Linked DNA regions of Alligator mississippiensis. The protein of the gene in region 2 interacts with the protein of the main gene of each other region in a pairwise test. Links are inferred from orthologs where the notes say so. Each region holds a gene or a part of one and is shown on either strand. Other genes may lie near its edges.

Region 1 (7,470 bases), on a different chromosome or scaffold from region 2:
CAAACTCCCACTTCAGTGCAACATAGCCTGCAGGCCCATGGGTGTGTACCACTATAGTTCCCCAAACACCTAAATGTTTGCTGCTGCAAAACCCAGAACTGTCTCTGTCTTGACAGTGATGGACAAGCTAGGTTCCTAAGCTCTTTAGAGATCTACAAACTAAACATTCTTCTATGCCCCCTATTGGGTCTGAAGTGAAAAGCATTGTCAGCAAACACCTACTGGATTGGATCCCACACAAACAAGGGAAGAGAAAGAGGTGCTGGTGGTGATTTCATTTTATCCAATATATCCATGACTACAGTCTTCACCCAGAGTATGGGGGGGGGGGAAGGAAGGAAAAAAAAAAAAAAAAAAAAACAACAAACACACTCTCCTGCTCGAAGGGATTTGAACCTCATCTCTCAACTCCCATGCTTCAGCTAAAAGGCTATAGGTGAAGCATGTTCTCCTTCCTGTTGAAGGAATTGAACTTGCCATAAGGTAACTTAAATTATCATTGTGCTGCAACATCAAGAAAGCAAAACTCTCTCACCTAGTGATTAGGCCACTTGCCCGCATGGGCAAAGGGAACATATGGGTTCAATAAATACAGCAATATATCCATGGGGATTCTCACACTTAAAAACCTATCCTGGCTTTAGGTGTCCATGCCAGTCTTTTCTCCAAGAAGACAGCCAGAAGAAGAGTCATACCATTTTCATACTAGCTCAGATACTCATCCTGGACAAGGGAATCCTGGGTTTTATCTGTGCCAGTGTCAACCCATTCTTTCATCAGCATTCCCTATAAATTATTTTAAACCAGCACACTAAGCAGAGCTACCTGTGAATCACATTATTGAGTGCCTAAATATTTCCATGCAGTGTATACAGAAACTAATGCATGACTATAGCTGTTATTGTACTAGGTAGAACCCAAAAACAAGGCACGCTAAGCTCCAGGTGAGCCCTTACACCAAAACTGTAGGAGGCGATCAGCTTGGGGTGTTTATCATTTGGCATCCAGCTTGAGACAGCTAACGTTTAATTCAGAGATACTGTCCATCCTGCAACTCTCACTGGAATGACCCAGCTCTGGTCGGAGGTAGGCACGTGAGCCAGCACTAGGACCCACTGCCACTTTTCTCCTTGGTAGCTTTCTTGTGGCCACCACTTTCTCTCCATGGTGGCATGATGAGAGCAATCACTGCCAAAGCCCCCCACCACAGAACACCACCAATGCCCCACATCCTTAGGCCAGGTCCAACCATAAATTTAAGCCAGGACTCAGCAGCCATCACCACTTCCAAGGAGAAAGTGGGGGGAGGCAAGGCCAGTATTACCAACTCAAAATTTGATTGAGAGCCTCATGACATGAAGCCTGGCCCACAAACAGTTTTTGTACTTCTATAGCTATTTTTATAGAAAATTAAGAGTCAGTTATAGAACTGCTCTACCCCAATATAGCTTATTCCCTCTTCCGAAACAGCAATATGTTATGCAGATGATATAAGCGTGTTTATAGCTATATCTGTATCAAGGCAGGATTGTGCCACTTTACACCAATACAGCCAAAGCAATACTACTACGCGTTTAGAGAAGACCTTGGCATTATATTTACACCAGCCACTCTTGAATTCATATTATTACATGAAGATTCATTACAAAGTTTCTTGTGTTCATAGTTAGAGACATGCTTGAAGACACAAACTGTAAAGGCTCAAAATGACACAGGCAAAGAAAAAAAAATTAAACAAAAAGGTGAAGTGTGCTTATTGAAAGCCATTCTTGATTTTACCTCCCTGACTCACATAGGGCTGGAAGGGACCTCCAGAGGCTGTCTAGGCCTGTGCTTGTCAACCTTTCCTGTACCAGGACCCACTTGTAAACATGGATAGCCAGTCCCAACACAGTGCCCCCTGCCCACCAGTGTGTGGGGCAGGGGGTGGGTGTATGGGGCAGGGAGTGGATGTGGGGCATGGAAGGCCTCAAGCAGCCCTTTGCAGGCTCTGACAGCCTGCAAGGGAAAAGCCATGTTTTTCCCACATTTTTCTCCTTTAAAAAGGAGAATCCATGTTTTAAGTGTGTTGATTCATCTTTAAAAGTTTGTTCCAACCTTTTTGTATTTTCTTGCGAGCCACTTTTGGGTCACAACCCACCAGTTGCTGATCTAGTCCAACCCCCTGCCCGAGGTAGGATCATCTGTATCCAAACCTTCTCACACAACCATAATCTACAGTCACAAGACTACCCTCAACCCTGACAACACAGACCTAACACCCCAACCTGCCACAGGTGAAGCAGGGCAGCCAGGGGCCTGCTTCCCTAAAATATTGACAACGAACACCAAGAGGGCACGCCACAGCCCCCACTACAGGGGCCCTCGCTCTCACCAGCCTGACCCTGGGTGAAACTGACCCCACGTCTGGCGATGCGTCTGCCCCGGAGCAGAGGGGCAAGCCCCCGCAGCCAGGAGCCGCAGGTCCCAGCAGGAGCGCTGGCACAGCCCAGAGTCCCCGGCCTGGGGAAAGCTTAACGCCCCTCTCAGCAGAGGGAAGCGGGGAGCAACCCGCCGAGCCCGGCACTCCCTTAGCGGGACACGGGCCCGCCCGGGCGCCGCTGCAGGGCTGCCCGGCTTGGCCTTGCCCGGCCAACAGGAGGCTTTGCAGGAGTTTAAAACCCCTCAGCCTCAAGGCCGGGCCGGGCCGGCCCGGCCCAGGGGAGCTGCTGCCGCCGCACCCGCCGCCGGCTCAGCTCTGGCTGGGCTGCCCCCGGCCCGGCCCGGCCCGCGGCCTAGCCCCAACCGCCGCCGCCGCCGCCCCGTCCCCTCCCCTCGGGGCCCCGACCAGGCCCTCACCTCTTGGGCGCTGCCGGCTCCATGGTGCAAGCGGCCTGGGGTGTAGCCACACCCGCCCCGCCAACTCCGCACAACTTCGCGGCGGCGCTGGCCCTTTAAGTGGGACTCGCGCCTCCCCCGCGGGCGCCGCTCTCAGACAAACGCGGCTGGCGCCAGCCCGACTGCTGGTCGCTGAAAGCCCGCCCCACCCGCTCCCTCCTCTCATTGGCCCCGAGGGGACAGGGCGGAAGAAGTGGATTGGGTCCCACCGGCGTCAATTGTTTGACTTTAAGGACCCAGGAGGCGGAAGCGAGAACAAACGCCTTCCCCCAGGAGCAGGCGAATGCGGGGCTCGGGGCGCAGCCAACGCGTTCCCAGCGTGCCCCGCTCCGCCTGGGCCGCCGCGGGGCACGCTGGGACATGGAGTCCCCACAGGAAGTCGCTTCCTGCATGGGTTCTCGCCTCTGGCCCGGCTCGCGTCGCCTGCACGTGACGGGCACGACCTCGCCATCCCCGAGCTCGGGCGGGGCGGCTCCAGCGTGCATTGCCTGGGCGCAGCCGTTCAGCACCGAGGCAAAGGGCTCCTGGCGCGGCCCTGTCTGCCGAGGGGGCTTCCAGGCCCGGCTCCCGCTGCCCCGGCCAGTCACCGCTGCTGCATGCGGGCAGGAAGCACAGGTGTGTGGCTTGCGTGTCAGGACACCTGCACGTCTGGTGGTCTGGGCCCTTTCTCCACCACCGCTTTGTGCCGTTTCCAGGTTCCCGGAGGAGCCGTAGGTAGGGGTGCACCCATGGAGATTTTTTGGGTGCCATATCGACCCACGTCAGTCTGATTCGAACGTGCAGGCCGGCAGCTTGGAGAGCGCCGGCTGCCTGGTACGGCTGTTGGGGGGCGGGGGCAGGTCAAGGCCCCTGCGGTGCGGGGGGAGTGGGGCAGGGTAGGCACTGCACAGCCGGCGTGGTGCGGGGCACAGGATGGAGCCACGAGCAGCTTATCCAGGGTAGAGAAGGGTGGCTCCCGGTGCTGTGCGCACCCCAGGATGGCATGGTGGGGTGCCCCCAGATCTGCACAGGGGAGGGCGGGCTGTAGCCAGGGCAGTGCCAGGCTCTTCCTGGCAGGGGCTGGGCCGGGCTGCGCTTGGGGCGGGCAGCAGTGGCGCTAAGGGGAGCTACAGGGAGACCTGCAGCCACCCCAGAATTCGCCATAGCCCCTGCTCCTAGCGCAGCCTGGCCCCTTACTGGGAAGAGCCCAGTACTGCCCCAGCCTGCAGCATCAACCCACCCCTTGCCCCACATGCAGATCCAGGGGCACACAGATGGTGTGTGCCTCCTGGGGTGCATGCAGGGGCAGGAGCATCCTCCCCAGGCCAGCTGCTCAGGGCTTCATCCCGCACCCTGCCCCAACTGGGCAGTGTCTGTTCCTGCCCCAGCTCCACTCCCTCACTGGGGGACCTCAATGTGCCCTTCCCCCACAACAAGCTTACCAACCAATGCTGCTTTCCAAGCTGCCGGGCTGTGCTCCTGCTCATGTGCATGCTGCAACTGTGCATATGCACGTGGCATTTAAAATCTGCCACATCAGGCAAAAAAGGCCAATTCCCATTACTTGCAATTTTCCCTATCTCAGTGCCAATCTGACCTGGGACTGATGTATCGGTGCACCTCTAGCCTTAGGTGCTCTATACTCTGTCTTGAGACAGATTGGCCCGCTAGAGCAATCCAAAAAATTAAAGCAAGCACAGGTGTCCACTTCACCTTCCACATACCTTCCCCAAGGGAAGGTTGAATTAGGAAAAAAGTATGCATGGGAATCGGTGCCGCATTCAGGCGAATCTGCACTCGGCTTGTTACAGTGTTTGAACCTGATTGGAAACTTTCAGGGTAAATGATATTGTTGGATTCAGAACCTGGACTAGATTAAACCTTGCTGGCACTAATAATGAAATCTCACAACACCCCTAGGATGCAAGTAAATGGTATTTTTTCCATTAAACTAAATAAGACTAACAAAAGATAAGTGGAAGAGATAACAAAAGCTCTAAGGTCTCATGAGTCACTGGCAAAATCAGAAGTCGGCAGGAGATGATTCACATTCCTGTAAGACACATTCCCTTTCTAAATTATGCAATATAAAAATAGACCAGTTGGACTGGAGCTTTCACTGCACAAAGGGGCTTCACACTGAAGTTTGAAATAATGATTAGTGTAAAACACCTTGGTGTATCACAAACAAAGTTTCCCTCTACATCCCACCCTTACTGACCTTCACTTATTTCATTACAACTCCTAATCATTGGGTGGTCCTGAGCAAACTGTTAAACAAGTTTCTGCAGAAGTCCAGTCAAGTCAGATATCTTTACCATTTCAAAGCTGTAGCTTATGTTGTTGCTGCCTTGCTTCTAATATAGGCTATTTCAAGAAAAAAAATTATACACACGCACCCCCATATAGTAAACAAAACAGTGCCAGCCAATTTAGATAGAAATGCAATTTTCCCAGTATTTGGAGTATATTAGTGTGGCTCAGTTCATATTGGAAAATGCTGACTTGTGCAAAGTGGGCTCTTGAAGGATGCTATGAAAGCCTAATCATATTCTGTTGTACCATCGTAGTATTTAATATAAAAGCCTTTGTCTGTCTGCCCATAATGCTTTATTCGCACTGATTGGCTGACTGAAACAACCAATAAGAGTGCAAATACAGCATTGGGACAGGAGGTGATGACACAGCAGAGCACTGCCCTAATGGCAGGGACACAGGGGATGGAGTGGGGGCGAGGCCAGCACAACCAGTCTTGCCCCTCCTGCCCTGCTGCCTGCAAGCAGCAGCAGCAATGGAGTGGACAGAATGGGGGGGGGTGAGGCCAGAAGCACTGGCCTTGCCCCCCCTGCCCTGCTCCCTGCAGGCAGTGACTATGGAGTGTAGAGGGGGCAAGGCCACCAAAGCTGGCCTTGCCTCCCCCCCTTTCTCCTTGGAAGTGGCAATGGGGTGGGGGGGAGCAGGGTCAGGAGGCTGCAGGGGGGCAGGGGTGAGGCCACCAGCGCTGGCCTCAGCCCACACCTCCCCACTTTCATTGTCACCGCCTGCAGGACCAATGTATCAGCAGTGTGGGGAGGGAAGGAGCGGGCCCAGGCCTGACACAGGAGGGTCTACCATGGCGGGTTGAGAAAGGGGAAGTGGGCCCAGGGGTAGGCACATATGGGGCTCCGTTCCTGCCCACTTCCCTCCCCCCCATCCCTCATCATTCTTGACGGGCAGTTGGCTAGTTAAATATATTTATCCCACCATATGCAGAGCAGGGTATGTTTACTTCTTTCCCCACATGCCTACAAAATGGCAAACCTGTCACACCCATTGCTACATCAATATACTGTACCAGCAACAGGCTTTAAACAGGGACACAGCTACACTGACAGCTAGAATTTTTTTACTTGTATAGCAAAACCACCCCTTAGAGAAAAAAAAGTGATATACATGGTAGCAGTCTTGCCAGTATAATTAACTGTGTGTACATGAAAAGGTTCTGCCAGCAGAGTAATGCTGGTCAGGGGCCACACTGCAGACTGACATAGCTGTGCTGACAGAAGCCTGTACTGCAGACCTGGCCTGGGTCCTAGACACCAACCGTTCAAACTGCCTAGTGCTCTCACATCACATAATTGACAAAAGAATTGCTGCTTCTATTAGAAGTCCCACAGCTGCTAAATCAAGATCACTATGGTGTATATTTCTCTCCTTATATTAACATAAGATTGGGGGTGTCCTTATATTCCACTCAAAGTTGTGATGGCAGTTTGTACAGATGTACTCAAACTAGTTCACATGGGTGGTGACAACTGGGAAGCCAAAGAACAAACTGCCTGAGTATCTCCTTATAGCTTGTGTTGCATTCTGGAGCTGCCAGTTCTGTCATCATTAGTAAAGTTTAAACCTAGCTCAGGCACATCTACACAAACTACCACTAAGCTTTTTGAGTGTGGAAGAAACAGCTTTATAGCTCTTACTGCTTTCTATGACCTGGGACAGGAAAACATATATCTCTCCTACCTCAAGATAGCTCTTGGCTACTAATAAGCCCCTGCCTCAAACTACATTTCCTGCCCCTGGCCAAACAGAATTTTCAAAACCACATGGTTTTGAATTTAGGTGCCCAACTTACTTTGAAAGTTAGCCCAAACAGCATTATCTCTTACATCCTGTAAATCACATGCTTGACTACAGCACTTCATTTGCAAGCACGTACAAGTGCCAAATGGTAACCTGGGAAGCAAACATGAACTGCAAGGCACAGTTCCTTGTAACAGTAACTACGCAGAATTAAACACACTAAATAAGTTTGTGTACATTTGATGGTCTCATACCATTAATGAATAAATTACCTTTGTTCTGCCTTAGTCATGTCATTTACCAGATTGCAGCTAATACTAGAACAGACAGTTGTCTAAAAGAAAAGTGGAAAAAACTATATTAAAGCCACACTAAAATATGCACGTTTAAAACCACAAGAGGAAGAAATGCAAAAATAATTGTCATACAAACTTTCAGTACTGCTGCACATCATTTTTTTTAATAGTTATATAAATCTAAACCAATATCTTTCTTAAATAGAATATATAATTAGAATTCTGTATACGTTTAGAGTTTAAAACATTATTT
Region 2 (7,029 bases):
AATAGTTTGCTAGATTATATACAAAATTAAGAACACACAGACAACAAACCAGGCAAAAATAGTCAAAAGATAGTCTGGAAAAGCGCAGGCTCAGGGGGACCTGGTGACTGCCACACAAGGGGTGTTCATCAGGACCTGGGAGAATGGCTGTTTACCAGAGCGCCCCATGGGAAAACAAGGACCAACGGTTATAAACTCCTGCAAGACCATTTTAGGCTGGACATAAGAAAAACATTCTTTACTATCCGAGCCCCCAAGACCTGGAATAGACTCCTTCCAGATGTGGTGCAGGCACCTACTCTTGACTCATTCAAGAAACACTTGGATGCTTATCTTGCTGCGGTCCTTTGACCCTAGCTGACTTCCTGCCCCTAGGGCAGGGGGCTGGACTTGATGATCTTCAAGGTCCCTTCCAGCCCTAATGTCTATGAAATTTATATTGTGACATTAGTCCTGTAGTCATTCTAGTTACATGTATATCTCATTCAGATTCATAAAATGAAATCTAGCCACCTTGGGCATCTGGATAGTGCCCCAATACTTCACAGTCAATCATGTCTCCACCTAAATTAATATTACCATACCTGAGCTAAGGCTTTTTAGCTAGAGCTAAAAAGTCTACAGGGTTGTGAAACAGAAGAGATTACCAGAAATAACTAACAGACAGCAGCATTACAGAAGAAAGAATAGTTTGACTAGCAGAACATCAAGACCTTTAAAAAGGATAGAGGATTGTTGACACTTGTGGAGTGGAGACAGATTAGCAGGAATCAGGGAGATGATAATGAGACATGAAGTCAATTGACTCTGTCCCCCCAGCCTGAATAGAAATCTTGCTGCCTCTGCCAGGCAGTTGGTTTTAAAATGTGTAGGGACCAGAAATAAAAGAAGAGGAGGGGGGAGATGCAACTGCACCCACCCTGGATCCAGCTCTGCCTGGTGCCAGGGAACAGCTTAACCCAGGGGGTTGCAACCTTTTTAAAGGAGTGTACCCCTTCTAGTGGGTACCCCTTCTGGAGTATACCCCCTTCCAGACGGTGAGGGGGTTGTGCTGATGGCTGGCCAGGGAGCAGGGGGGTGGGATGCTGACAGCACAGCCAACCTGACACAAAGCCAGCAGCGCAGGGAAGCAGTGTGTGGCAAAGGCACAGAATGGTGAATGGTGGTAGTGGGGGGTGAGGAAGTGACACACGGTGGCTGCTGCCACCATTCACCACTCTGTGCCGCCACTACATGCCACTTCCCTGTGTCGCCATGCATACTCCCTGGGGCTGTCTCAAGTATCCCCAAGGGTATGCGTACCCCTGGTTGACAATCCCTGGCTTAACTCATGCAATCAGCCCCCAAAGCTAGTTTGTGCTGGGCGGTGTCCCAAAGTCTCCTGACTTCCCATTCCCAGGGGCTCTGGGCTGATTCCTAACTGAGGAAGCTCCTTAGATTTCCCTCTCAGACAACCCTCAGAAGAGCAACAAGACACCAAGGCAGGACTCAGAGGGCTCAACATCCCAAATCTGACTGGCTACATCTCTGCTGTGGGGCAGGGACACAGGGACCCCAGCCAGCAGCAGGCCCTGGTCAGGCCTTTCTCAAGCACCCTCCCTACCTGCTCTCTCCTGCAGGCTCCACACCCAGAACTGCACCAGGATGCTGTCCTGGGGCATCCCCCACAGTCACCTGCAGCCCCACCATCTCCTGCACACTTGAAAGCAGCTGTGGGGCTGACTCGGAGCAGCCTCACTGCTGCATTTTTGGGTCCGGAGCAGAGTGTGCTCAGTGACCCTGTGAGGACAGACTTCTGTCATGCTGGAGATATACACAGTGCATGACCAGGACCTGCTCACACCGGAGACCTGGAGCCTCCTGCATGGGCCAGAGCCCAAACCTAGCTGTGCGGCCGGAGTGCTGGGCTTGTCTCAGGGCAGCCTCACTGGCAGGGCATGGTGAGCTGGAGGCAGCACTGGACTCTCTCCGTGGCATTTCCAAGGGGCCCGTTGCTGGATGGGTGCATGGTCAAGCACAAGGGCAAACGGGGTGCTTCTCCCTACAGGGCCTCAGTGACCTTCCCAGTCCCCTTCCCCTGCCCATCAACAAGACTCCTTTGATGCCCTTTTACATTTGAATTGAAACTGCTCTGCCGGCAAGTGCAAGGCCAGGGTGCTCCTGAAGCGCCGCCAACAGAGAGGGGCACTACTTGTGTGCAAGCCCGGCGGGTGCAGGGCAGAGGGCAAGGGGGAAACTGCTGTGGCTTGCTCTGGCCACAGGCTCAGGCGTGTCCAGTCCCCAGCCCGCTGGTACCAACCCGTGCAGCCGGGCAGTCCCTGGCGTGGTGCCGCCGCCGCCGCCTGACCCCTCGCGCGGCAGTGGCACCCGGGGCCCAGCTGCTGCCTGCAGGAGGTGCCGGCCACGGGGACAGCGCAGGGCGTCGCTGCGCGGCTCTGGGGGGAAGGAAGCTGCGCCCCCGGCCCGGCCCGGCCCGGCAAGGTACTCACGGCCGCACTGCAGGCTCCTGCTGCGGACGCCCCAGATGAAGTCCCCGCACAGGTCGCACCAGGCGTGGTGGCCGCGGGCGCGGGGCCGGAAGGCGTGACCCTGGCCCTGGCCCTGGCCCTGGTCCTGGCCCGGGACGGCCCGGGCGTGCCGCACGCGGCCGAGCAGCTCGGGCATCCGGCCCGGGGCGATGCGCAGCGCGTTGGCCCGCTCCAGCCGCCCCCCGCGAGCCGGCGCCAGGTCCTGCAGCTCGATCATCTCCTGCTGCCCCCCGCGCGCCGCCCGCGCCATCCCCGGGCACCCGGGCCGGTCCTGCGCCGGGGCTGCGAGGGCCGCCCGGTCCCCGCTCCTTCGCTCCGCGCCTCACTTTCCCCTCCCCGGCGGCCCGCGGGGGCTGGCCCGGCCGCAGCAGGAGTGGGCGGCCGCCTCCCCCGGCCCTAGGAGCCGCCCCGAGGGCAGGCAGGGCTGCGGGGCAGGGGCGTCGCCGAGGCCGCGGCGGCCCGCGAGGAGCCCCCGTCCCGGCACCTGGGGCGGCTCCTCCGAGTCCCGTCACGCTCCCGCCCGTCCCCTCGGCGGCGGCGCCCCGCCGTCCCGCCCGCCTCCCCGCCCCCTTCTGCCGCCCGCGCTGGAGCCTCGCGTGGGTCGGGCCAGCCCGGAGCCGGGAGCTCCCACGCCCGGGCTGCCCGTCCCGGGGCAGAGCCGGGGGTGCCGCTCCAGCGACCAGAGGCTGCCGCGGCCCATTGGCACGGGTGTCCCCGCAGGAGAGGAAGGCACCTCGGGGCTTGGCAGCCGCCCGTGAGACCCGGCTTTGCTGAGGGGGGAGGACAACCCTCGCTACTGGTGCCATGGCATTAGCCTCTTCCTGCCACAGCACAGCCTGGCAAGGAATGGGGCTGGAGCCATTTTCGTTTTTCACCCCAAAGAATAAGGCCTCACTTTCTTCTTCACAGACATCTTCCCCCTTCCCGGATGGGTCCAACCAGGGTGGAAGGAAGTGGCTTCCCTGTGGAGCAAGGAGCAGGCAGCCATCTGCAGAGCTCACTCCCACCAGCGGTGCCCCACAGGGCAGAGCCTGTAGCTAGGCAAAGGGGCTGCTGCTGGTGCCTTGTGAGTCCCCCCACACCGCACTCGCAGCCTGTGGCACCAGGAATGCATCTTTTCTCCTTCCTCGCTTCCTACCAGCCCTGCCTCATCAGCAACTGCTACTCTCTACACTCCTGGTAGGATGCCTGGCTCCAGCCACGGCTTTTAATACCCAGCTCCAAGCCAGGCAGCTGCCTGGGAATTCAACAGCCACGCTTGCACCAGTCTCCCAAGAAATGGGGCCAGACCCAATGTGGACAGAAGCAGGCAACAAAGGACATATGGTGGCCCAGGCTTATGCCATGAAGGAGGTGAAATCAAGTAGAGCTGAGAGAGGCCACTTGCCATCAGCAGGTCAAAGCACATAGCTAAGAGACTTGTAGAAATGGCACCGTCCATGGCTCAAGGGAGGGAGTAGCAGGGTGTTATGGGTGGGTTGGCTCATTAAGAGGAGCTGGGCTTTGCTTCACCTACGAGTCATCACAAGGGGAAGGCTTTCCACCTGGGGTACATCAGAGCCTAGAAGAGCTCAGTTGCCAGTGGGAGCTTCCCCTCAGGGCACAGGGGGAAGATCCCCTCAGGCATGTGGCCTGTGGAACACAGCATTGCAAGAACCAGAGACACTTGCCTTAACCCCCAAAGAGATGCTTTGTACTGTGCAATCCTGCAAGAGACCCCACTCACAGAGAAGGGATCTGTTTGATGTGTGGAACATGGCTAGTGGAAAAAAAATCTGAAGCCCTAATGAAAAGTAGTTGGGGGGTGGATCCCCAACTGACATGGGACTTCACCGCCATGGGTGGTGAGCTCACAAGGCTGTTGTTAGGCTACCTCCTCCTCTTCCAATGGCAGTTGAGCTTGGCTGATTAGCTCCTCTTCACTCCTCTTCCTTATCTCCATGAATCTCCAAAACAACCAGTAAGAGGCTGGGCTCAGTCCACTGCAATGCCTATCAGCACCCCGAGGGGTGAACAGGGACCATCCCACCAAGGCTGGAAGTATCTCATTGACACACTCATGCACTGACAGACTCCACCTCTTCATTGGGGTGACTCTTGGTGCTAGTGCCATACTCAAACAATGGCCTTGCAGCTGGCAGCATCTTGAGATCCCCAAAATGTCAAGGGGTTTGCCTCAGTCCTTGGCCTTCTCTGAGCTGCTCAAGGCTAGTTGGCTTGGGATGACTGAGACACTGAGGATAATGCTCCTCCTCTTCCTCATTCCAGGGTGTCCTTCATCTGCAGAGAGCACCTCACGGACCCATCTCCCCACACAATGACAACATATAGATGAGAGGAAAGCAACAGGGTCTCCAGAGAGCTTACAGACATCAGACTTCATCCTCTACATTAGCATTAGATGCTTCATTCTGACCCAATTCCTGTTTGCTGATTCTCAGCCCCTCTGCCCTTGCAGAGAGGAGCATCCCCAGCCCCCTGGGCCTATTATCTGCAGAGCAGCAGCAGCAGCTGTGCAATGGCTGGGGTAGCCCAAGATGGAACTTGTCCCATAAAGACACTGGCTGAGTGCAAGCAGCTCCAGCCACTCCATATGTTGGAGTTTATTCAGGGTCCTCTGGCCAGCCTCACAAATCCTGTGGCTGCCACAGCTGCCAAGAAGCCCAGTCAGCTGGCAGCCAGTCCCGTTTGTTGCTGGTGGTCACCATGGTATTGCAGTTAAAAACCTGCACACAATCAGCTGCAAAGCTTGACCAGCTCACTGTCTGGTTTCAATGGAAAAAAATAGAATCAGAGCAATGGGTGGGCCTAACCAAGGAAAAGAGAGCTCCTTGGGGGCATGGCTCCTGCTGGCACTGAAATACAAGATGAATAGATCAAAAATATCCAGGACGGGCTCAAACTGAACTGGATTTTTTTTTACTCTAAGGACAAGCCATTTCCTGGGAGTGAGAGTTGCCAGGAAGCATTAACAGGGTAGCTGGTCAAAGCAGGGGACACTGAAATAAGCAGTGATTTTCCTGTCACCATCTCTTCTCCTCTTGGGCTGACCCAGTACTTCCAGATCTTGGAAAACTTATTTTCCCCTAACCACCTGCTGGCTTGATAGTGCTATTGGCAATCAGGAACAATAGTTTTCCTCTTGCATCAGAACAGATCAATAATTCAGCTGAGCAGTCATCCAGTCTACAAGTGTGGTCAATGTTGGGTGTTCTAAAGGAGGATGTAAAAACCTCACCAAAGGCAGACAACCTGCCCACCTGCATAGGGAGAACAGTGGTGAACATGTTGCTCTAAATCAGGGGCAGGCAATTATTTCGGGTGGAAGGCCACTTACTGAGTTTTGGCAAGCCACATGACAGGCAGCTAGGGGCAGATAAATATTAATTTTCTAAATTTTTAGGGGCCCCGTGGGCTGGATAGAATGGCCTGGAGGGCTGCATCTGGCCCATAGGTCACATTTTGCCCACCCCTGCTCTAGATGCTACGATAGATTCAGGGTCACTTCATGGAAGTTAGTAGAGGTACTGGTCTAGTGTAGGTGTGGAGTAATTCTGTTAATTTCACTGGGAGACTCCAAATTTACACAGGGTAGATGAGATCGGACTCCACTTTTCTGCCCTTTGGGCTTACTCCCTTCCTCCAACATAGTGGCTAATCTGTTTAATCTGTTTGTCTTTTACCATGGGGGCAGATCACACTAGCAAACCCTATATTCTAAATGTGCTTATCCCTACCTCTCTGAGGAGGACTTATGCCAACTGGACATAGACCCATATCCTGTCATACCACAGCTCTGGGAAGAGGCTAGGTTCTTCCTTACTCTCCAGTTTAGATTGTGCACCCAGAAGCCATGAAAATTCCCCGTTACCCTGCTCCCACAGTTGCAGGGAGGGTTCACTGGCTGGCCTCCTGTCACCCTAGGGAGTTTGGGGTAAGGCAGGCCAAGCTCTGATTATTTTCTAAAGCCCAGCCCAGCCCAGCCCAGCCCTGCAGTCCCAGTCACAGCTCAGAGAATGATTCAGGTAAAGTAGCAATATCCCCGCTCCTGCATGGAGTCAGCATCCTGTTGGAGTCTGCTCTCAGCTCGAGCTCTTGAATGCCCCTAGTTGATTTCTAGACAGAGGCTCTATTGCAAAAGAGACCCAGGCCCAGCATGTGCTGTGATGTTCTTTCACAGCTGGCGAGACAGAGAAAGGATCCTCACACTAGTGCCAGAAATGCAAGGGTCATTCCCTGCTATGGATCTCTAAGTAATCAGGAAGGGACACAGAAGGAACATTGACTGATGCCCTCTGACTTTGCAACCTCCCAGGTTCCTGACACCAAAGCAGGGGAAGAACAAACCCAAGAAAAGCATTTGCTATGAGTAACCAGTTAAAACACTTTCAACTTACCAGAACTAAGGTAGTTCTGGTGTAGCCTGAACTCCCTAGGAAAGCAGACCCTTCCTGCTGCCTTGTCTTCTCCTCACAACTCTTTTCAGATCAGAATTCTCCAC

Evidence for each region. The genes of interacting proteins can lie anywhere in the genome.
Region 1: the proteins of RASSF1 (region 2) and STK3 interact in binary tests that used the Homo sapiens proteins (3 or more experiments, as listed by UniProt). The link is inferred for Alligator mississippiensis from reciprocal best matches to the Homo sapiens genes RASSF1 and STK3.

Annotation. Positions count from the first base shown.
Region 1 is NC_081826.1:40,043,851-40,051,320, reverse strand, and holds the start of STK3 (serine/threonine-protein kinase 3), read right to left. Parts: upstream 3,008-7,470; 5' UTR 2,862-3,007; coding exon 2,839-2,861; intron 1-2,838. UniProt on the Homo sapiens protein: Stress-activated, pro-apoptotic kinase which, following caspase-cleavage, enters the nucleus and induces chromatin condensation followed by internucleosomal DNA fragmentation.
Region 2 is NC_081835.1:43,829,922-43,836,950, forward strand, and holds the start of RASSF1 (ras association domain-containing protein 1), read right to left. Parts: upstream 3,010-7,029; 5' UTR 2,779-3,009; coding exon 2,490-2,778; intron 1-2,489. UniProt on the Homo sapiens protein: Potential tumor suppressor. Required for death receptor-dependent apoptosis. Mediates activation of STK3/MST2 and STK4/MST1 during Fas-induced apoptosis by preventing their dephosphorylation.